4 linked regions of the Arabidopsis thaliana genome follow. The protein of the gene in region 4 interacts with the protein of the main gene of each other region in a pairwise test. Each region holds a gene or a part of one and is shown on either strand. Other genes may lie near its edges.

Region 1 (3,148 bases), on a different chromosome or scaffold from region 4:
GACCCTACTGGTCCTCTCGCCTTTGACAGTGGCTACTTCGTCTCTCTACTCAAGAACAAAGGACTCTTCACCTCCGACGCCGCCTTGTTGACTGATCCCTCCGCCGCTCACATTGCTAGTGTTTTCCAAAACTCCGGCGCTTTTCTTGCTCAGTTTGGTCGGTCCATGATAAAGATGAGTTCCATCAAAGTCCTTACTCTTGGAGATCAAGGTGGTGAGATTCGTAAAAATTGTCGCCTCGTCAACTGATAAATTTTCACTTTTTTTTTTATCTTAATACCGTATAAATTTGATTATCATGTAATCATCATTTGAGATATGTTTTTCTTAATTTTATTACAATACTAAGATTTTAATGATCCATATATATATTTAAGTGGAATTGTATGTTTCCAATTTATCTGTTTAATTACCACTTCTATGTCTTTTTGACAAGGCCCGTACTTTAGCATGTGTAAGTAGAACGCTGTCCGGTTAAAAAAAAAACAGTGCAGTCTCTATATAAATTGAGGTCAATAATTTAAAAATTTTATTTATTCACATTAAATACACCTTGAAAACTTCTTTTAAACATGGCTTATAAATAGTTTGAAGAAATCTCCATTTTATTCAAATCCGAAAACACAGAAGATACTTTTGTAACCATAATCACAAATACATCTTTATCTTAAACTTGAGATGTTTTATTCAACAAATTAAAAACAAGTGAGAAACAAACTTTAAAGGACCGATCGCTCGATGGGTCTCATGCAAATCATCATGCTGCTAGATGTTTAGCTTGTCAATAGCTTGAAGTGCATCGCCAGTGAGCCTACAAAGTCTCCATTCCTTAAAAACCTGCGCACCCATCTGCTCATAGAAGTTGATAGCATTCACATTCCAATCGATCACAATCCACTCCACTCTTCCGACACCCAACTTCACTGCTTGCTTTGCCACAGCGGTCAGTAGCAGTTTTCCGAAGCCTTTTCGTCTGTAAGGTTCTCTCATGAAGATATCCTCGATGTAGAAACCCTGTTTCGCTAGAAAACTTGGGTAGTTCGGGAAGAACAGAACGAATCCAGCCACCACCACGTCGTTGAGCTTATCCGGCAAGAACTTTTCTCTGTCCGGATCCTCGATAGGGAGATCAACCTTATGCGTCTCAAGAAAGGGGGTGAAATCAGGGGACGAAGCGTCATGAGTGGTGGGAAATGGGGAAGGGGAGATTTCCAAGAGGAAGACGGTGACGGCTTGGAACGGACGGGAGTTGAAGAGCGTGGAGGCAAGACCAGACTCGGTGGCGACAAAGAGATGCGTGAGGCGCTCAAAAACCGCCATCTGGTGGATTAGCTTGTGAATGAAAGGGACATCGGTCGGCGTAGCGAGGCGGATCCGGGAAAACATACGGTGGCCGGTCGGTGAAGTCTCTGGCACAGTGTTTGGCTCTGGTGCTGCGGTTGGAGGCGCCATTTTTCTGTTACTTGTTTTTGAAGATAGTGATGTGAAGATTAGGGTTTCGAGAATCCATATATATATACTATAAAAATTTGATGTTACTTGCTTCTAAGGCTGCTATCTATCATGTTTAGGATTAGAAATTATTTTACAAGCCAATCTAACTATGCCACATATGATAAACTAAAACGCTATCTCATCCTTTTTTTGACTTTTAGATCGATCCCTCTTCTTGGAAAATGTCATGTTTTACACGTTAAATTAGGTGATCACTCTCTTCTCCTTTTTGGTTTTTCGTTCAGGTTAAGAAATCAAAGAGACTCCACATTATCTACTTATGTAAGTTTTTGAACATAAAAACAATTATCACCATATCAACTCAACGTATCAGTGTAATGGTTGCGTCCCTCAATTTTCAATCCCTCAATCTCTATTATCTCATTGTATAGGTCACCGATCATCTCTCCCAAAACTTTGCAAACGGTTCTAAGTCTTTTAAACTTCCTTCTTAATAATTTGAACCTCTCATTCTATATTACGTCGTACAAATTCATTAGAGAAGATTAAGGTTTCTAATATGGCATTGAATTTTTTAAACATAATTTGGCTCTTTTGCGATTTGAGACAACGCACGACCATACCACGAAGCAAATACGGTCATCTATACCGTTTACAGTCCAATCTTCGTGAGTGAGTTCGACAATTGGTATTTTTACCAATTTAATTTAGGAAGAAATTGATGAATTTCGATAAATACCATCACCATTTGTTGAAGTCGGTAAAAAGACATATGAAGAAACGTGAAGCACATGTCGTTAAATCATGGAAAAAGACATTTTGGTTCCAAAGAAAAATACAAGAAATGAGTGAAAAATAATGACACTCCCATCGTCGTTTTATCTCATAGAAGAAGCTAGACGCTACACGTACTACTTTGATATTTATTGTCGTTAGCACAAAATAGTTAGCCGACATTGTTTACAGTATTAACAGGTGCGTTCTACATGTAGCTGGCAAGATTTGTTACGTCTCTTAGTCCAAATTTGTCGACAACAAAAATCAAATATGTATCCTGCCATTTCTTTCCAATTTTGGATTCTGTAATCACGACGATAACTTCAATGTTGTTGATAATAAAGGAAAGGAAATAAAACTATCAATTTTTTACTACTTTAATTCTTTAGCTTATGTCTTTTTATAGTTTTAATTGTTAATAAATGAATATGATTTTGAGTGTAAATCCAAATATTTTTCATAATATACTCTTCCAAAGATGAGATTTTTTGTTCAAAATACTTAACGGAATGCATGATATTAGTAGAATGTATCTGTCCAGTTTTATGTCCAGTTTCATGTTTAACAAACAAAAAACTAGTCTCACTCTTTTTTACTTTTGGTTCAGTTTTAAAGTTTTACCGATAAATTGCAAGTGAATTAATCTCAATCAAAGAGATGTTCTTTAAAGCCAGTAGGACAACTAGAGATGTTGAAGTGTTTGTGCATTCTTCTACAAATTTTACAACCCACTTAAGCCCATTTATAAGAGTAGAATCATTTTCGTAAAATGGGGTCTTTTGTTCTCTATGTTAACACAAAAGCGGAATGTTTTGTTGTAGTAATAAAAATAGATGAATTTTTGTTTCATGCTCACGGTTTCTTAATTCTCTATACAACAAGACAGAGAGTCAGAGACTACTAAAACTTAGTTTTT
Region 2 (4,217 bases), about 29 Mb from region 4:
AAATCGATCATCGTACCAGATCCATTGGCACCAACCAGAAGACAGCGAGAACCAGCTGGAAGATCGAGGTTGAAGTCGAAGAATATTGGATCCTCAACTTCGTATGCGAATTGCATACCGCTAACTCTAATGGCGTCATCGCCACTCGCCGTCGCATCTTTCTCCGCCATTTTTGCCAGTCTCCAAAAGCTCTCAAGCGGTCAGATACAAGGAGTAGGTAACGATTAGTTGGTGGACCGACATTGTTTACTTTGGTCAAATATGCAGTCCTTTAAATATGTTTCGTTCAACGCTAAATCCACGTCATACCAGTACCTTTTCGCCACGTCAGTGATATAACGATTGTATCTCTTTGCACGTCGCCACGTCAGTGTGCTGGTCATCACGCATCGTCAACCAAACGACAGCGTATAAGGGAGTACAAAATGTTTTTTTTTTTTTTTTTGTAATATTTTCTTGTACATTTATTTGCTTAGTCATGCAATAGCAAACAGATTTAGCATTTTAGTTTTACGTAGAAGCAAAAGTTGAAATTATGAAAAAGCCTTTTTGTATATATTAATATCTCAGTGATACAAATGATAATCGATAATGTAACAACGATGATTATAAGGAAGAAAAATAATTAAAACAGGGAGTGTGGGAGGATTACAAAGAAACACACATCAACTTACCATTAACATACATCAAAAAGACTGTTGGCTGACCACCATTGTTGTCTATTGTCTCGTGCTCTCAAGTCACAAGAAGATGAAGCCGGACTTGTCCAATAACTTAAATTTTACACTCCATTCATCAGAAAGCTGCCCAACCTGATGCAGCTCCTGTTGACTTGCTCGATCCTGATCCCGCCGTTGAAGGAAGATTTTTCTGCCGAGTATTACCAAATCAAGGATAATTTAGAGTAACCTTAGAGAATAAGAATAAATGTAATTAAGAAGACAAGGTTTATTTACCTTGAGCTGAGATAGATCAGATAGAGGCTCGTTCCTGCGTGATTCCTTGCAGCCATCAGATGCAATCCTTGAAGCGACGGGATCGTTTGGAGGAGGAGGTAAAGGAGACCTGGTTACTCCGGCAGCTTTGGGGGGTGGGGCAAGTGCTAGAGGTTTTGGCTTCCCCGTTCCTGAAAGAGCAGCTGAGAGCATCCCAGTGCCATTTGTTGTTGGTTTCGGCTTCACGTTGATTCTTATGGTTTCACCTTCCTTAAAACCCATCAAAACAACAATCTTTTCAGGTTCTACCAAGTCCAAATGCCAAGAATTTTCCTTTTCCGGATAAATGATGGAGTTCAATCAGAATTGAAATATTGATTCTACAGTTACGGTTCCCAGAGAAAGATATTGAGTAAACAAAATCAAATGAGTATGTTCTGCAACTACGAGTGGATGCTAAAACAAAACTTGTGATTATGAACCATCTGTGAAGACTAAAAGAGCAAAATCAAGACATATAGCAGCATCAATTTAAGATTAGAGATGATGAACACAACACAAGATCGAGAAAAATTAAGGCTGGTACTATTTACTCATCCTAATATCTACACAGAGCATACAAACTACAAAGATCTTCCACCAAATAACACTACAAATAAAGGAAATTAGAAAATCCAAATAACGAATAGCTAATCAATCTCAGCAGATAATGCATCCAAAATATTCTCATCACTGATACAAACACCAAGACCAAGCAACTTTTAGCTATAGCCTACTAGCAAGATAAGAACTTTGCAATGAGAATGATACTACAAAACGTATCTGAATCAATCAATTCCACATTGGATTCGATAGTTGTTTTTCCAAAATAGATCTGAAAGCTTCAATCAGATTTCTCCAAATTATCAGATTCCGCATTGATCCTATCTTAATTCCAAAAGCTAGCTTATGAACAGATCAGTTTACCTTCAATCTGTGATTAACGGCAGGATGGATATCAATATGATTATCGCTCTCACTCGTTTCCCCTGTCTCCTTCTCTTTCTCCCTCCTAACGTACTTTTCATGATCCGATAACGCAACATTGAAATCAAACGCTTCGTTCCTCTCAGCGAATCCTAGCCCGATAAACGCATACTTCCCTCTCCCGTCATCGATCCTGAGAACGAAATACCTAGACGAATCGAGAGACGGCTCTACAGAGTTCTCTCTACGTCCAGGATCCACAAAACAAGCTGCGAAAAGATCACCGGAATTCGAATCCTCGAGGCGGATCTCGCATCGATCCTTGCACGATACGACGCGGAGTCTACCAGACCAGATCTTATCGGATTGAAGCCATTCGCCGCACTTGTATCCGCCGGATGTGGTTCGCGGCGGGATCTTGTAAACGGAGACCTCACGCACCACGAGAAGTGTATGCTCGAATGTTTCCTCCTCTTCTTCTTCCTCGAACGACATCGAATCTCAGAGCCTCTCTCAGACGAGTTTCGGAGAAAGACGTGTGTGATCGTTGCGGACTTTTGAAAGCTTTACGAGACCGTAACCTTCTTCTTCTTTTTTTTATTAGTGTTATCATTATCCTTTCAATGATTTTAATTTAATATATACACTAATCAACGTAATCAAATTTAACAAAATAAAATCAACGTAATCATAAAAGCTAAGATGTGTATGTTAGTAGGAATTTTTAATCTGAAATTTTGTTATTGAAGCTTTGTGAAAAGTTGGTTATTAGTCTCATCTTTATTTATTTCAGTGACTGGAAAATCTAAAAAAACATTAAAGGAAGCAATTAAAGAGCTTAAGAAGAAGAGCTTGGTGTCATAGACAACATGGTCTCTTGCTGACTAAACTTGATCCTCTTGGCTTCTTCCTCGTTCACTCCATATGACGCTTTGATCACATCCACTGGAACTGCTCTCAAGTACGATGTTTGGCCGCTCAGTGTGTTAATGTAAGCGTTATCGTTTGTCTTGAATGATATCCACTCGAAACCCGTTTCACCAGCCGTTTTTGAAACTGCAAAGCCTTGTGGAATCACAATGATTTGGCCTTGTCCCACTTGCTCATTGAACACCGACTGACCATTGTCGTCCACCACTTGTATCTTGGCTTGACCTCCTGTGACGTATAGCACCGTGTGCGCGTTTGCCGTCCATTGTGGCAACACCATTCCTCCCTATCTCCACGAGAATTCATTATATAGCACATAAAGAATTTGTAAATCTAATTTAAAAGTGGGATACTTACGCTGTAGAGATAACCTCTAAGGGCGTTAAGTCTGACTAGACGTAGAACAGGGAGATTAAGGCTGTTAAGAGTGCTGATTCTTCCGGCTCGTGTGCTAAAATGGTCAGACCGTTCTGGATCATCGATATTCTCATGAATCTTAGCCGTGCAATAAGTCTCTTCGATGCCATTAGCAATGCCATCTTGCTGCCATTCACGAGGCGGTGGGATGACGAAATGGAGAGGACCATTTGCTCGGATTATGTTTCCTCTGTTGTCCTTCTGGTTTTGTAGTTGCTTAGCTGTCTCGATGTTGATTTTGAATGCTTCCGCGATTATGTTTGGGTCGAAACCGCTGAAAGCGTTGTTGCCTGATGGCCACGTTAATGGTTGTTCTTCTTCTTGCGTTCTGCTCCCGGCTAGTTGGAACATCTACATATGAAGGGTTCACAAAAAAATGACATTATGTGTTATATATATGAATCACTATTTTAATCACTGAGTGGTAGTCATATAGTTTGCATGCAGTACAAATTTGGACTTTCTTGAATTTGATGATTACCCTAGGGACTTGGTCAAGCTGGTTTTCTCTGTTGGTGACATCAAGAACAATGACAATGACGGCATCGGAATCACCGCGGTTGTACCACCACTGTGAAACTCCGGCAAGCGAAGCAAACACATCCCCTCGCCGGAAATTCTCCAACTTCTGGTGCATGTCCTCAAAACGTCGACCCGGGTCTCCTCCTCCTCCTCTTCCTGATGATCCTTCAACTTCTGCAAAAGTCTCAGGACAACCAGAAGCAATCGTCCCCATAACTCCTTCTCCTGAAAACAATTAAAATAAAAGACCACTTTTTTTAGATTTTCTATAGGTTGCGAGTTTTTAATTAGGTCTTGATCAAAAAGCGTATTTATTTATTTTCTTACCTTGGACAACGTAAGCAAGGGCAGGTGGGCTAAAGAAAGCGGGCAAGAAAATGGAATTGGGCTGAAGGGTGATGCGAGCCACCGTTACACCGGCGCATCGGAGCTCAGGGCTCATGTGGT
Region 3 (7,865 bases), on a different chromosome or scaffold from region 4:
GGGCGCTGTTGGTTGATACTTTATTATGCTTAATCAGATTTGGTATTTTAAGGCATTGAGTTCTCTTCTTTTTTTAACGTCGATCTGATGTTGTGGCTGAATTACATATAGGCAGTGTGATTTGCATCATATAGTTAGATTTGGAACATATCGATGAACTACAACATCTGCTAGGTTTAAAAGAAAACATTTTGCCCAGAAAATTTGCAACTTTAGGTACTTATAACCTTCAGGGTGTGTTAGTTAAGTAACCCTTCAGGAATATTGGTAAAACCGTAAAACCCAAATTTCGCTCTTTTCGTGAGTGTTAAGCAAATTCATGGTAATCATCAGACTTTTTTTTTTTTGTCGGCAATCATCAGAGTTATCAATATCTAAAAGAAAGAATCAGGAATATTTGTGTAAATAAGAACTCTTTGAAAAAATATTCTGCGTAGGCCAAATATATAAGATGCAAGAAGACAAAAATTTACAAACAAGAAAATGTACTATCTATATAAAATTGTCAAATAAAACATCTCTTATTGTTTCTACAGATACTACAAATCACATCATTTTTTTTTTGTTTTTTTTTCTTCTAAAATTGAGTAAATTAGAAAATGAAATATATACAAAAAAGAAAAAGATTACAACTTTTAGGGAGAGGGCGAAACTCTTGTGTAGATGAACGCCTCTTCAGTCAAAGCTCTTGTTTGTATTGCAGAGATCATCCTGCATCCATCCAAAATCCACAAAAATAATCCCACAAAAGAAAAATACCACCAAGGAAATTATCCTTTAAAATTCAGAGTGATTGCTTCACTTGGTTGGTCACTTCCCCCAGAAGAAAGAGATACACAAAACTTTAGGTCAAGATTTAAGGATCATTTGCTCTGCGGCATCAACACATATCTCTGCTTCTTCTTCACTTCACATCCTCATCAGTGAGACTTGTTTTCTTTTTGGTTGGTGATTGTTTCCTTTGCTCGGAAATCGTCTATGCTACGGAATTCTTCCTTCAGTAGTTTCTCTAGCTCAGGGTGCTTTGTTATCGGTTCTTCTTTGCCTCGATAATGGTGGAATGCCCTACACAAGAGAGAGATGATTAGGTCCTATTCAACACAACCAACCAAACAAACAAACTTTTTCTATTATCAAAAGGAGAGCATTGAGGCTATGTGAACATCTTTTAACCTAGATTATTACTACAAGCCCTTTTTTTTTATGTAAGTTCTCTAGAGACATTAACGAAAATCACAGTTCCATAACAGGAATTCAGTAGCAACAATATTGTTTAACCATTATCATAATAATAGAGCCCTTACCAATATTTCTCCAAGCCATACAGATTTCCCTTGTGGTAGAAGTCAAGCGATAGCTTCTCAAAGTCCTTGTAAAGGTCCTCATCAAAGTGCTTCTCCAGACCATAACTTAAGAAGCAAGGCAGACCAATATTAGTTGGATTAGATTTTTTTACACTGAGAGCTTATCCGCAGTGAAAAAGATGGAACATATAAGCAAATCTAAGACGTATGCATTACCTATAAAACCTAAAGAGACACTCCAGCCCATAATCGTAATTGCCAGCTGCATCCTCAAGAGCAAACTTCTGAAAGTCATCATACATAGAGAGAACAAATGTGTCTCTGAGGAAATACGACCAAAATCGGTACAAATGGTTCATTTCCTGCAAAAAGAACAGCCAGAATTCAGATACAATTCCAGAAACTAGGGTTTCTGATCTCTAACTAGATTAAAGTATGAGTTGAGTAATTTATATGTAAAAACAGATGAGTTGAGCATGTAACAGCTATTGCGGGTTTCTTTTGTTATACATGATGAGAAATCATCGAAAGGAGGTTAACATGAAACTGACCTCACTGCATCCGCTACCTAGCTTCTTTCTTTCGTTTAAGCAGCGCTTGCGATACTTCAAGTACCTATAGGTAGATTTAAAAGGAATAAGAACAGAGACCTTCAAGATACGATCTTATCCTCCAAAAAATAATGCTCCATACAATAACCATAGACTCACTTTTCTTGTTTAAACCCATTCTCTTCCAACAGTTGGTGGCTCGGATGTTGAAAAGGTGGAAATGATTTTGGCAAAGAGCCCACAGGTGGACTGCTTCCAGAAAGTGTACATTGTGGAGATGAACTCAATTTCGAAAGCCTAGGGCTGTTAAAATACAATAAAAACAGAATATTAAGGACAAGTGATAAACAAAAAAATAAGAAAAAGTTGGGAATATAAAGGATTGCTAAGATACTGACCCATGACTGTCTGGTGGTGTAGAACCAAAGAAAAATCCAATGGAGCTACTAGGCGGACTTTCTGATATATTTCCATTGTTCCTTATGTTACTCGAGAAGAACCTCCGTGCATGGGCTGTATGATGTTTGTGCGTTCCCTTATTTTGCTTCCTCCGTGAAGTAATGATTCCATGCTCTTCCCCTCCATCATTTGCTGCGGAATTTTCGCCCAACTTAGTGTTCAATCCTTCCCCAGATTTGATTTTCCCATCTTTGGTATCCAAATGGGAGTTGTTCTTCCTACGGCCAGATCGTTTTTTTTTAAGCTCCTGTTTCATAGGTAAAGATTAGAAATTGGACTCCAAAGAGGTAAATCATATTATGATAGGAAAATATTCCTTACCTGCTCAAAGTAGTAAAGACCATCGTTGATTGTGGAGGCAAGCTCCTTAGGAATATTTTTTGCTTCCGTCCCACCGATTCCAGCGCCATCACTTTTACCACTATTCTGTCCAGCATATAACGGAACATGAATAATTGATTTCACCAAACATAGAGTTCAAGGAAATATATAAAAAGTTCTGTGTAATACCTGGGTAACAATTACAAGTTTCTGAATATCTTGATCATCAACAGCCATATCATCGTCTTCATACTCAATGCTACAAAATGTCAAATAAACCTAAGCATCAACTGCAGTACTTTATATATGCAGTTTAAGATTCATATAAAAAAAAGAAGGCATATTGGAAACAAAAGGACAGAAAGCAAATAGCAGGACTAATTAAGTGGTGCACGCACTACCTTTTGGACATGGACAGTCCACTCTTTCTCGGGCTTCTGTGCTCCAGATCTAGTTCCTCGTCAAGCAAGAAAGTGTTTGAAAAATCGTTTGACAAGTCCTCCACATTTCTTTTTTCGTCTGCTGATGATTTCAGGTTACCACTTTTATAATTATTGGTTCTTGATGACTGAGCTCCCTGTACCACACAACGGAAAAACTATGACTGGAGCAAAAACTAAAATTTCATTGGCTTGGCAGTCTTACAGAATTTCTCTACCAAAAGAAATTTTTTTTTACCTCTGAAGAGAAATCGGACACGGTAGGCTTTGAAGAACCCTTTGAAGGGTTTCCAAAATTATCCCCGCTTGTTATACTTTTTGGGGAATCTTTGTCACCGTCTCCAATTGTCTCCGCAGAGGTTGACTTTTTAGATGCAGGAATCCAGTCAGACCACTTGTCACGCTTGCGTATCTGGTCACCCTGTAAAAGTACCAGCATTTCAAATTAGGATCCAACAGATAAGAAGTACCAGCATTTTATACTGTTTTAAAAAACAAGTAGGCCTTACACCTGTGGAAACCAAGCATGCTCTAAGTTAAGTTAGAATAATCAAAGAGGCTTCTTTAAACTATTATTCAGAGACAAAGTTCTAACCCATTCTTTTGGTGATAGCCTCACCACAATAGAAATACACAATACAACCGAAGAAAACATAGTGTTCAAGGAAACAATTTTTTAATACAAAAGCTAATCTGAACCCAAGAATTAGTAAAACCCCATTCACAAAAGCAAGAGTTTAGCATTTAAACCAGAAAAGAAGGAAGGTGGTCTGACCTGCACTTCAACAGAATTAGAAAACCCCAACGCATAGACTATAAAATCAACATCCATAGTCATTGCTTTAACCTGCAATTCAAGAGTAAAAGAAAACTTAAAAAACAACACACTTGTGTAAAAACACAGATGACAGAATAGATTAATGAAAAAGAAAGCAAGTCAAGCTCATGTTACTAATTTTACCCTTTTGAAGCCAGCTATAATTTTTGTGGGAACCCATCCTTCTTCATCCATCAAAGAAATGAGGTAATGATCATTCTCAAGGTTTTCATCACTGAAAAGGGAATAAATAAACGGAAGGTAATATGAAATTTCAAGAGCCACAATAAAGGATAAGCTGAACATAATTATAATCACAAAAAAATTGATGTAGAGAAGCATAACTTGCCTGAAATAATACTCTACTTGTTTTAAGACTCTATCCCTTAAGTCGAGTTTTTCTGGAGATAGTATTGGAGGACCCTGGTTTACAGGGTATGGAGCAAAGCGTGGAGGATAAGGACCTCTTATAGCTCCAGGGGGTGGACCCGGCAAGTAGTATACAGGCCCTGTGTCAAATGAAGAAACAAAAACAGCACTCATGCATCAAAAACCGACAGTTATCCTTTATCCTAATGCTAAATATATTCAAGAGCAACAGAATTAAATTTTTATCAACTACTCTCAGCCAGTCCCTTTAAACACATTGACAAAGAATCAATATCTTACCAGGAAAGCCTGGACCTGGACCAACCAGGAACCCAGGAGCTGGACCCATAAATGGAGGTCTCCCGAAATTTCTTGGTCCAGCACCTTGTGGCATGTTTCTGGGGTCAAAACCCCTCTGATGCGGCCAAGGCTTTCCAGGATCCCCTTGAGGAGCTGGCAACACAGGTGGAAGAGGGGAAGCTTGAACTTGCTTCTCATTGCCAGACTCAGTAACAGGAGGCACAGGAACCGGGTAGGGAGGATAAGGTGCATATGGAAAATCTGGACCAGCAGCATGTGGCAGAGGCACCATAGGTGGAAAAGGAGGTGGATGATACGGTACAGCATGCACGAGATAAGGAGGAGGAGGAGGACCATTCTGGTTGCTCCTCGGACCTGGTTTTGAATGACGGCCAGATGGATTCTTGTGTCCAGGATTAGCCTTTCCACCACCCTTAGATTTCGCTTGACCAGTTACGGCCTAAACAACAAAACAAAAGAGCTTTTATGAGCAAAGCTAAGGCTACAAATTCAATGCTAAACAAAAGACTTTCCAATCACACTATAAACCTTTCAAGCCAAGTAAAAGAAAATCACGACAAATAAATAAACGTCATAATCATCATGCATCAAATTCGATCAAAGATTCAATATCACCAACTTAAACCAATCACGAACACAACTGATATCCAGTATCAGATAACTCTCAGCTCTACCAAGTACCACGCACCATTACAATCGGAAAATTAATACTCAATTAAAGCATAATCAAACAACATTGACAAATCAACGGAAAGAAGTCGGTTGTTTGACTAACCGGAGTAGGGATTGGGATAGACGTCGGAATGTTTTTAGACGGCGGAGCAGGTGCAGGCGCCGGAGGATTCTTAGGACGCGGTTGTTGGGCAGCGTCGGCGAGTGCAGGCCACGAATGAGCTCCCATTACAGGAGCGTCAATAGTCTCAACAGGAGAAGTCGTTGTTTTCCACGGAGACTTAGTCCCAATACCACCTTCACGGGTGATCAATTCTCGATCATCGGCCACTGATCCTTCAGTCTCCGCCATCATTAGAAACTTGGAAAGATAAACAGAATCAAAACAAGGAAGCGATTCAATTGGATCAAAAACAGAACGAGGATTGAAGGATCAGATGGAGAAGACGCAATGTGAGGAAGAGAGGTTGAAGAAGGAGGCAAGTGTGTGTGTGTGTTTTGGTGGCGACACTCTTTAAGGGAGGAATAAGCGAGGATGAAACAAACAGTGAAACGTATAACCCCAAAAACCCTAGTTACTTTCCTCTTTTTTTATATGTATATGTTTATTTTATATAGCAATTTCCTATTTTTCCTATTTGAAATTTGACAAAAAATAAGAATAATATTCATGATTTGTTTAATTACTAGTATTACAAATATCCTCTAATCTGGTCTTTATCCTTCGTAATTAAAAACATTCAATTTATTTCTTTTTAATTTTTGTTTTGAGAAAACATCATTTATGTAGGGTTTTAAAAAAATTTAAATTAACTTTATAAACTTATTTTCGTTAGACCTATTTATAACGCGTTTATTTATTAACCTTAGTTTATGTCCTTAAATAGATGTGTTAGAATTTGTGTAGCAATTCTAAGTTATTTTGTACTTTTAATGTGATCTAACAAACTTTTGTTACAACTAAGGATTAGTAGTTGGTAAAAGAGAACGAAGATAACTAGTTATCGCTCTTATAATCTCTTTATTGTTTTATTGTTTAATTCGTTTAAGTTATTTAATTATAATATTTAGTCTTTTAAAAATACGTGAAAAATTATCTGAATTGTTAATATACATATAATAATTTTTATATATATGATGGATATTAACGATGATTTCTGAGGTGAAAACTATTATCTTAATTTTTTTTTTGGGTGAGGCTATTATCTTAATTCTTCAATATGTGAACCTACGAAGAATAAAGTAATTGATGAAGATTTGAATGAATTTTTGTCTCTGAAAATGACATTTGAAGGTGTCTGTGGAAGATTTAGTGTCCACTAGATAAGATTTCTAAACAAAAGGTCAATATATTGATGAAAATTGAAGTGATTGAAATCAAGTTTTTCCAATGATAGTACACTCGTTTGAAGAAAATATGAGGTTGAATCAAAACCTTAGTTCAAAGTAAATGATAAAGCAAAAGCTGAAATCTTACAATTTGAAAGTGACCAATATACAATGCGAGAAAGCAAAAGAAAAAACAATGACTCAACCTATAAGGAAAGTGCATGACAATCACTCATGGCTTAGTGAATAGTGACCATCGCCTTTTACAAGTTTACATTGGCTTTGAAACCCTCCAAACTTTTCGAAACAATCTTTCGACCAATAACTAGTTTACGGGACTAACCAATACAAATCTTGGAAAATGATGATTCTTTGACCATCTCTATTCTAACCCCACCTATTGGAGTTTAAGGCCTTTTCATCGTCACGATACGCATACTATGATCACTGGCTCTAGCAAGATGTTAAGGCACACAAATCGGTGGCAAGGAGGTGACTGGCCCTTGTGTCATTATCCTTCTCAAAGGCATTGAACCAACTTTTTATTCACATTTGTTTATTATATACTAAAAGAAATAAACAAAAAAAAAGTGGATAATTATAAACTTTTGGACGCCAAGTCACTCGTTTATCCATTTGGTACGGATTTTAATGATATCTCTCTCTCAAGAGCCCCTTTTATGCAAAATCTCTTTTTCGCTACCAATGGCATTATTCGTAATTAACTTCTAACTTGAGGGGCGTTTCATTATCTCCTCCTCGTCGTCCTCCCTCCATTTTTCTTCACGTCTGGTTTTCTCTCTCTTTTCCTCTATCTCTCTCCTCTCTTTGTCTCTCTCGCTTCTGTGATTTGGGCTTTTTCAGATGGGAAATGCGAACGGCAAAGACGAAGACGCCGCCGCCGGTAGCGGTGGTGCAGATGTTACCTCGTCCTCGGCGAGATCTAATGGCGGCGATCCTTCTGCACGCAGTCGTCACCGTCGTCCTTCTTCAGACTCTATGAGCAGTTCTCCTCCCGGAAGTCCTGCTCGATCTCCATCTCCTTTCTTATTCGCTCCTCAGGTTCCCTCTCTCGAATATCTCTCTCTGTTTAATCGTTGAATTTGATTTCTGGTTTTGAATTGAATCGATTGAAACATTCGCCCAAAGAGATAATAGTAAGAGAATCTTTTTGATTTGTTTCGTTGAGTAAGAGAATGTTCGTTCACTTGACTTTTCATTTGTTTCACTAATTGTGAGACACTTTCTTCATTTAGATAGGATCCAAGTACAAAATCTCCAG
Region 4 (5,944 bases):
AAGACCGACGAAGGAGGTGATGCAGCTGAAGAAGCCGCTGATATACCTAACAATGCTAATGATCAACAAGAAGCACCAGAAACTGACATCAAGCCAGAGACCTCAGCAGCTACAACCTCCCCTGTTTCTACCGCTCCAACAACTTCCTCTACTCTAGCTTCTGCTATTACTTCAAGCGGAGCTCCAGAAACAGAAGATCCAAAAAGAGCACCGTCACCAGGTGGTGGAAGTTCAACTATTGTGACACTAGCTGATAGAGCACAGATGAAAAGACGAGAAAGAATAGCCAATATAGTAGTAAGTCGAGCTCCTAATCCAGCCACCAGAGGAGCTCGTGGTCGAACTGTAAACCTTCGAGGAGGAGGCCGATTGTTGCCTCGTGGTGGTCGAGCCCCACGTGGTGGACGTGGACAATCCCCGAGCCCACCATGATTTTTAGTGGGTATGGTTGAACAATTAGACTTATCCAAGGAGGCTCCTTGAAGAGAGAATTAATAACGGTAGAGAAACTCATTTTATGTCTAAACCTCTTTTCTTTTTGTATCCCGGTTTTCTTATATCACTATAAAATCAAACCTATCATTTTTGCCAATGATTACAAATTGCAAAACATATCATAAACACAACACAAAACCAAAAAAAAAAAGTGAAGAAAAAACCCAACATTACACCATACAACGAAACAATAGAAGAAGAAGCCATCTCGCTTGTAATAAAATCAAAGCAATCCGAAACAATCGGACGGTTTATATTGATCCTTAAAAAACCAAACCAAAAACACTACATGTTCTTCTAGTTAGCTCACTGTCCCGGTTAACTCTGTGTTTCCCTCTTCGACTGTATTAGACATCTCCATTGTTTTAAAATCAGCAACCAAGTCTTCTTCTTTCTTCTGTTATCATAGACATAAGATCATTCTCGTTAGAATACAATACATAGAACAAAAAGAGCATGATTGAGAGATATAAAGAGGAGAATACTAAGGACCTTTAATACCGGAGGGAACCTTAGCTTCTTCTGTACCATAACCTTCTCTCTGTTTTCATAAAAATCAAAATCATCTAAAATAGATGTCTTAGCTGCGTAGTTCTTAAAGATGTTCAACACTTCATTCCCTTGAGGCAACCTCACCTATATATGAAGGACAATGTTTAAACAGTATGAGATGAGATTAGCTCTTGATAATGATTCACTTCCTTAAGCCTATTAAGGAACTAATGTTACCTCTTGTGTGTCTCTGCTATTGGTTACAGGCTTGTTCTCATTGTTCTCTAGTATGATATGTCGTAGTTGCGGATTTGGAACATCTTTGATGATGTGCCACTTCACCGGAAAATAGCCAGTCCACTTATCTTGTTGCCAGAACTCCATGCTTTTCTCATAATCAACTCGTCCAATCATCTCAGCTACACCGCAGAATTGGCCACTTGCATTCACCTGAATCCAATAAAATCGATCAGAGACCATGAAGACGTCGCAAAACTGAATACGTATATAGCGAAAAATCCTAATAGCATACCGAGAAGAACAGGAAAACCGGGCACTTTCCACTTTTGTCTGCAGCCTTCTTCTGAGATTCTTGATATGCACTGTCTAACTTCTTGTTCCCATTGAGAGTACTAGACCAGACATTGTACTTGATGCTCTTGTGTATGTCGTCTTCGCTATACGATTTTATCACAAAAAAGATTGCTTCCTCGTATTTGGTCTGAAAGCTAGGGAGGTTATATTGATCCCTTCTGATCACAGAACCAACACCGTTGCTTCTTTCATTCCCTTCAGCATCCAACGAACATGACTCACATTCTCCATTGGTAATATGATCTTGACCGTTTGCTAAGTCATTCATACTTGTACCATTTTCTTTTGTCCTCGCTTTCGCCTTCTCTGTTTCATCCCGATTTAAAGCTCCAGACTTTTTCTTTACTGGGTCCATCGGGTAAGCAATGCGACCTTTTTCTTGGTTAAGCAGTGGGGGTGGGGCATAGCTGTTCTGTGATGCCTATAGCATCAATACAAAGAAAAAAAGATGAGTCAAACCTCTTCAGGTAATGTGAAAGAGAGAAGAATTAAAGAGTGTAAATGTTACTTTTCGCGGTGTTTTAGGACGATCTCCCATGCCGTGACCCGTGAAGGAGTTCTTGCTCTTTGAATAATAATTGTTGTGGTTATGACTTGAAGAAGATATGTTCTGTTTCAAGGGTGGGGTATATGAAGCAACACCATACACATACCTGTCTCCAACAGGGTCCCATAAATATGTGGGCGATGAAACATCTGCATAACCAAATTGGTTCTGATAATAACCCTGAGCAGCATACATCGGCGAATGAAGTGCTTGACTCGATACACCAACCGGGTTTATAGGCATATAAGTTTGGCTTGCATCATAAGACTGAAACCCTGGCATCAAGTAGATCACAGACCCATTTTCCCCTTGCATTACCTTAAAATCAAGATCAAGAAAATGGTCAGTTAAAAAGATCGAGTCACCCGAGTGAGTAATTCATTCTCTTCATGACAAGGAAGTTTTGATTACCGGGTACTGAACTTCTGTTCCATAACCATAGTATCCATTATCCTTTGCTTCTCCAACTGAACCATCAAGACCTGTAAAAACACGCTAATTCAGATTATGATCATCTAAAAGCAGAATTGAGTACATATTATATAGTATCAGTGTGTAAAAAGAAGCAAAACCTGGATAGTAGTATCCATAGTAGCCACCATAAGGACAAGGCAGGCCTTGATATGTCTCAAGAGTTTCATAATATGATGGCTCTGCCTCTGACTGATTCTTATTCTCTTTTGCAGAAACCTTTAATGTTGCAAAACAAAAGGAACACAAAAACACATAACTGATAAATCATCCTAAGAACCAAAACATATGAATCATCTGTAATAAACAGAGAAGAGAGAATCTTTATTACCATGGAAGTGGTGGAGGCAGTGACCTTAGCAAGAGGATCCACTTTAAGATTCTTCACCATATCTTCAAAGGCTGAAACAAATTAAACAAACGTTCCCGAAGAGATCAGATTCTGAAAAACACAAAGAAACAAGACATATGTATGTATAAAGTAGACACAAACATTACTAGTAATCTTTTTGATGCCTTTATTTTCTTAACTATGTGAAGAGACAGGTTTGAAACGTGAACTGATGTCTGAATATTTAGTCGTACCGATAAAAACTAATAACTAGGCGTGACTTATATATTTATAGTTAATATTGAAAATAAGACATATGAGTCTAATCACAAGAAACAGAGCACTATACACATAGACACACATATATATATTTACAGACACACAAACACAGGATTCAGATAAAAGGTCAAACGCAAAAGTTAAAAAGACGTGTAAGAACAACACAGATTAAACACGTGTGTGTAGGAAAGAAAGAGAGAAAGAGTACATTTACGAGGATGTTTTGGAACATGAGAAGTCATCTACGAAGAGTAGTAAAAGAAATTTATGTGTTTGACTAAGAATAAAAGACGAAAAAATCAAAACACAGATGAAGAAACCAAAACTCGAATCATCTGTTTCGCAGAGGGTTTTAAAAAGTCTCAAGAATTATTAAATTAGAAAGAAAAAAAGCTGTAGAAAATCTGTTTATCAAGAAGAAGACAACATCAGCTAAAGATATGTTTTATTTTTATGTTTGAAAACTAAGTACAGATACGCAACAAAGAAAAACAGAGAGAGGGAGAAGAAATGGTAATGGCTTACGACGAAGAAGAAGAAGAAAGAAGAACAGAGAGTTTTTTTTCTATTTTTTCTTTTGCAATCCTTCTTATTTATTTTCGATGTAAATTAAAAAATAGAGGTTGGGAAGAGGTACAGATGGAGGGAAGAGAATGGTCCACGTCATAAGGATTCTTGATATGAACGAAGATCGACCGTTGGATTAGACGACAAGGCAAAAACTTAAAACATCTTTTCTTGCCAACTTTTCCATCTGGAATCTATTCTTAACACAACTCTCTTGTAAGTGCTTCTTCAAAAAGTGATTTTAAAAAAGAGAATCTTAATTTGGCATTAACTAACACAATTAATTCTATAAAAAAAAATCATAGGAATACATATTCTATGGAAACAAAAAAAATGAAAGTTAGGACCAGTTCTTATGGTCGGGCAAACTATAAAAAGCACAGAAGAATATCATATAAGATAGTTGAAAAATTGGATTTGACTCTGCCTCTCTCTCCATGTATCCTTGAGTCCGAGCAATACCACACAATAAAAATAAAAACTATATTTTCCATTAAAAATGATTTATTATTCGATGAGTTTTACAACTTTTTAAAAAGTTTTCTCAACCATATAAATCATTAATTAATTCTTGTCTAACAAAATTTTAAATATTCTTTGATGAAAAGAGATGAACAATTCCTATACGCTACAGTTGTTGTTGGATTTTATTTTTTAAATGTTATTGAAGATTGTAGATTGAGATCTCATACTACTATTGATATGCTTCCATTATTGCAATCTGAGTTTTCTTTGAAAATTTGTATCATTAGGTGTCAAGTGGCCCATTCATTTGTGTACACTTACATATGCATCTATATTTCTTATGTCCCCCCACCAAAATCCAGATCTAAACTCATATGAAAGTCATCCATAAGTTTTAACTATCCTAGAAAATGATCACTCCTAGAATTTAATTTCTCTCTATTAGATTGGGACTACTAATAAACACACAATCACCTTACATAATTTTCTTCAAAAATGAAAGTGTTGTGTTTTTGCTCCATTTGTATTATATCCAAAGTAGATATTGCTTAGGGATCAAGTTATAATTGTCAACACCACATAAAAAGCCAAATAGGCCAAAAAAAAATAAGAAACACCATATGGAACTATTTAATACAATAAGCCAAAATTATGGAGCTTAAGAGAATTACAAGGTGCCACGTTTTGTCATTGCCGTGGCCTAAACGTGTCTGCTTCACATCTATATGATTTTCTTTCTTTTGTTTTCTTTTCCGTCTTTTATTTTTTTTTTTGTATTAAAATTTCTGTTGTTATATGTGATTACGTATGTCTAATTAAGTTTATAAGATTGCATCTTACAATTATTAAACCAAATCTTATATAATTGTAGAGAATTAATCTTACTTCAATTTGTTGACTTTGCTTCGATAATAACTTCGGTGCTCATCTCATAATTTCTAAAATGTGTATGCAATAGTATAAAAAGAAAATAAATATGGGGACAATCTTGTAATTATTGAAAGCTATTGTAGTCAATTAGAATATCATTAATATTGAGGCGTCAGATGCTAAAATTGAACGTATATAGGCGCCAATGGGCCTATTTACCTCTTTTAATAAAAGCCCATTTAACTCTCAAATTGTCATCTTCTTCTTACTTGTGCTTACAAGAACAAAACATAACAAAACACTTTGGTAACCAAAATCTTACAAAGAGTATCAAATGTTGTTACTAAACAGAGTGATTCTACATATCAAAATCAAAGCATCTCAATATCACATCGGTCGTGTCAGGTTTCGATTTCACAGGAACTTGGATTCAAAGCTTATCGAGTATTGCTTTGAGATGTGGTTGAAGAGGGTTAGTGGTTGTACTCATACGAACCACATACGATAGTTTTCCATCAACCAATTCAAATTCTCTACTTATCTCCTTCACCTGTTGGAGAAAAAAAACCCCATAAATCACCAATTAGAAACACAAAAATGTTGTGTGTAGAGACAGAGACATTGAATAAATAATAACAAAGAGAATTAATCTGAAACCTTTGAAGCGTTTCCCACAAGATCACTTTTGAGTTTGATTGATTGTTCATCTACATTGTATGTTCCTTTCTGTGATCAGAGATTCAGCAAAACATAAGTAATGATTTTGGAAGCTTATGGTAAACACGGATCTAATGGAAATTTGGATTATGTTAACCTGGACTTCGACGAGACCT

The links.
Region 1: the proteins of ECT8 (region 4) and NATA1 interact in a two-hybrid assay, tested with the Arabidopsis thaliana proteins (one large-scale study listed by BioGRID).
Region 2: the proteins of ECT8 (region 4) and ABCI18 interact in a two-hybrid assay, tested with the Arabidopsis thaliana proteins (one large-scale study listed by BioGRID).
Region 3: the proteins of ECT8 (region 4) and LARP1a interact in a two-hybrid assay, tested with the Arabidopsis thaliana proteins (one large-scale study listed by BioGRID).

The regions. Positions count from the first base shown.
Region 1 is NC_003071.7:16,296,564-16,299,711, reverse strand, and holds NATA1 (Acyl-CoA N-acyltransferases (NAT) superfamily protein), read right to left. Parts: upstream 1,603-3,148; 5' UTR 1,453-1,602; coding exon 766-1,452; 3' UTR 507-765; downstream 1-506. Other genes in the region: AT2G39040 (Peroxidase superfamily protein), read left to right, coding at 1-249. UniProt on the Arabidopsis thaliana protein: Acetyltransferase that converts ornithine to N5-acetylornithine, which is likely used in plant defense.
Region 2 is NC_003070.9:989,431-993,647, reverse strand, and holds ABCI18 (non-intrinsic ABC protein 4), read right to left. Parts: upstream 2,543-4,217; 5' UTR 2,397-2,542; coding exon 1,902-2,396; intron 1,206-1,901; coding exon 957-1,205; intron 871-956; coding exon 796-870; 3' UTR 522-795; downstream 1-521. Other genes in the region: ABCI19 (P-loop containing nucleoside triphosphate hydrolases superfamily protein), read right to left, coding at 17-170; AT1G03890 (RmlC-like cupins superfamily protein), read right to left, coding at 2,740-3,117, 3,189-3,599, 3,730-3,995, 4,098-4,217.
Region 3 is NC_003076.8:7,198,271-7,206,135, forward strand, and holds LARP1a (LA RNA-binding protein), read right to left. Parts: upstream 5,828-7,865; 5' UTR 5,610-5,827; coding exon 5,358-5,609; intron 5,022-5,357; coding exon 4,562-5,021; intron 4,402-4,561; coding exon 4,242-4,401; intron 4,128-4,241; coding exon 4,037-4,127; intron 3,923-4,036; coding exon 3,851-3,922; intron 3,497-3,850; coding exon 3,314-3,496; intron 3,213-3,313; coding exon 3,037-3,212; intron 2,895-3,036; coding exon 2,825-2,894; intron 2,741-2,824; coding exon 2,636-2,740; intron 2,562-2,635; coding exon 2,254-2,561; intron 2,159-2,253; coding exon 2,015-2,158; intron 1,920-2,014; coding exon 1,856-1,919; intron 1,667-1,855; coding exon 1,521-1,666; intron 1,410-1,520; coding exon 1,305-1,409; intron 1,066-1,304; coding exon 931-1,065; coding exon of another isoform or gene 921-930; exon of another isoform or gene 578-920; coding exon 547-577; 3' UTR 507-546; downstream 1-506. Other genes in the region: AKINBETA1 (5'-AMP-activated protein kinase beta-2 subunit protein), read left to right, coding at 7,448-7,645. UniProt on the Arabidopsis thaliana protein: Required for acclimation and survival during thermal stress. Heat-specific cofactor of XRN4 required for its targeting to polysomes and subsequent rapid degradation of seedling transcriptome during the early steps of the heat stress response.
Region 4 is NC_003070.9:29,813,664-29,819,607, reverse strand, and holds ECT8 (evolutionarily conserved C-terminal region 8), read right to left. Parts: upstream 4,139-5,944; 5' UTR 3,452-4,138; coding exon 3,418-3,451; exon of another isoform or gene 3,093-3,417; intron 3,002-3,092; coding exon 2,931-3,001; intron 2,819-2,930; coding exon 2,701-2,818; intron 2,611-2,700; coding exon 2,540-2,610; intron 2,447-2,539; coding exon 2,090-2,446; intron 2,003-2,089; coding exon 1,520-2,002; intron 1,438-1,519; coding exon 1,225-1,437; intron 1,132-1,224; coding exon 988-1,131; intron 893-987; coding exon 797-892; 3' UTR 504-796; downstream 1-503. Other genes in the region: NUA (nuclear pore anchor), read left to right, coding at 1-432; AT1G79260 (nitrobindin heme-binding domain protein), read right to left, coding at 5,542-5,661, 5,769-5,837, 5,926-5,944.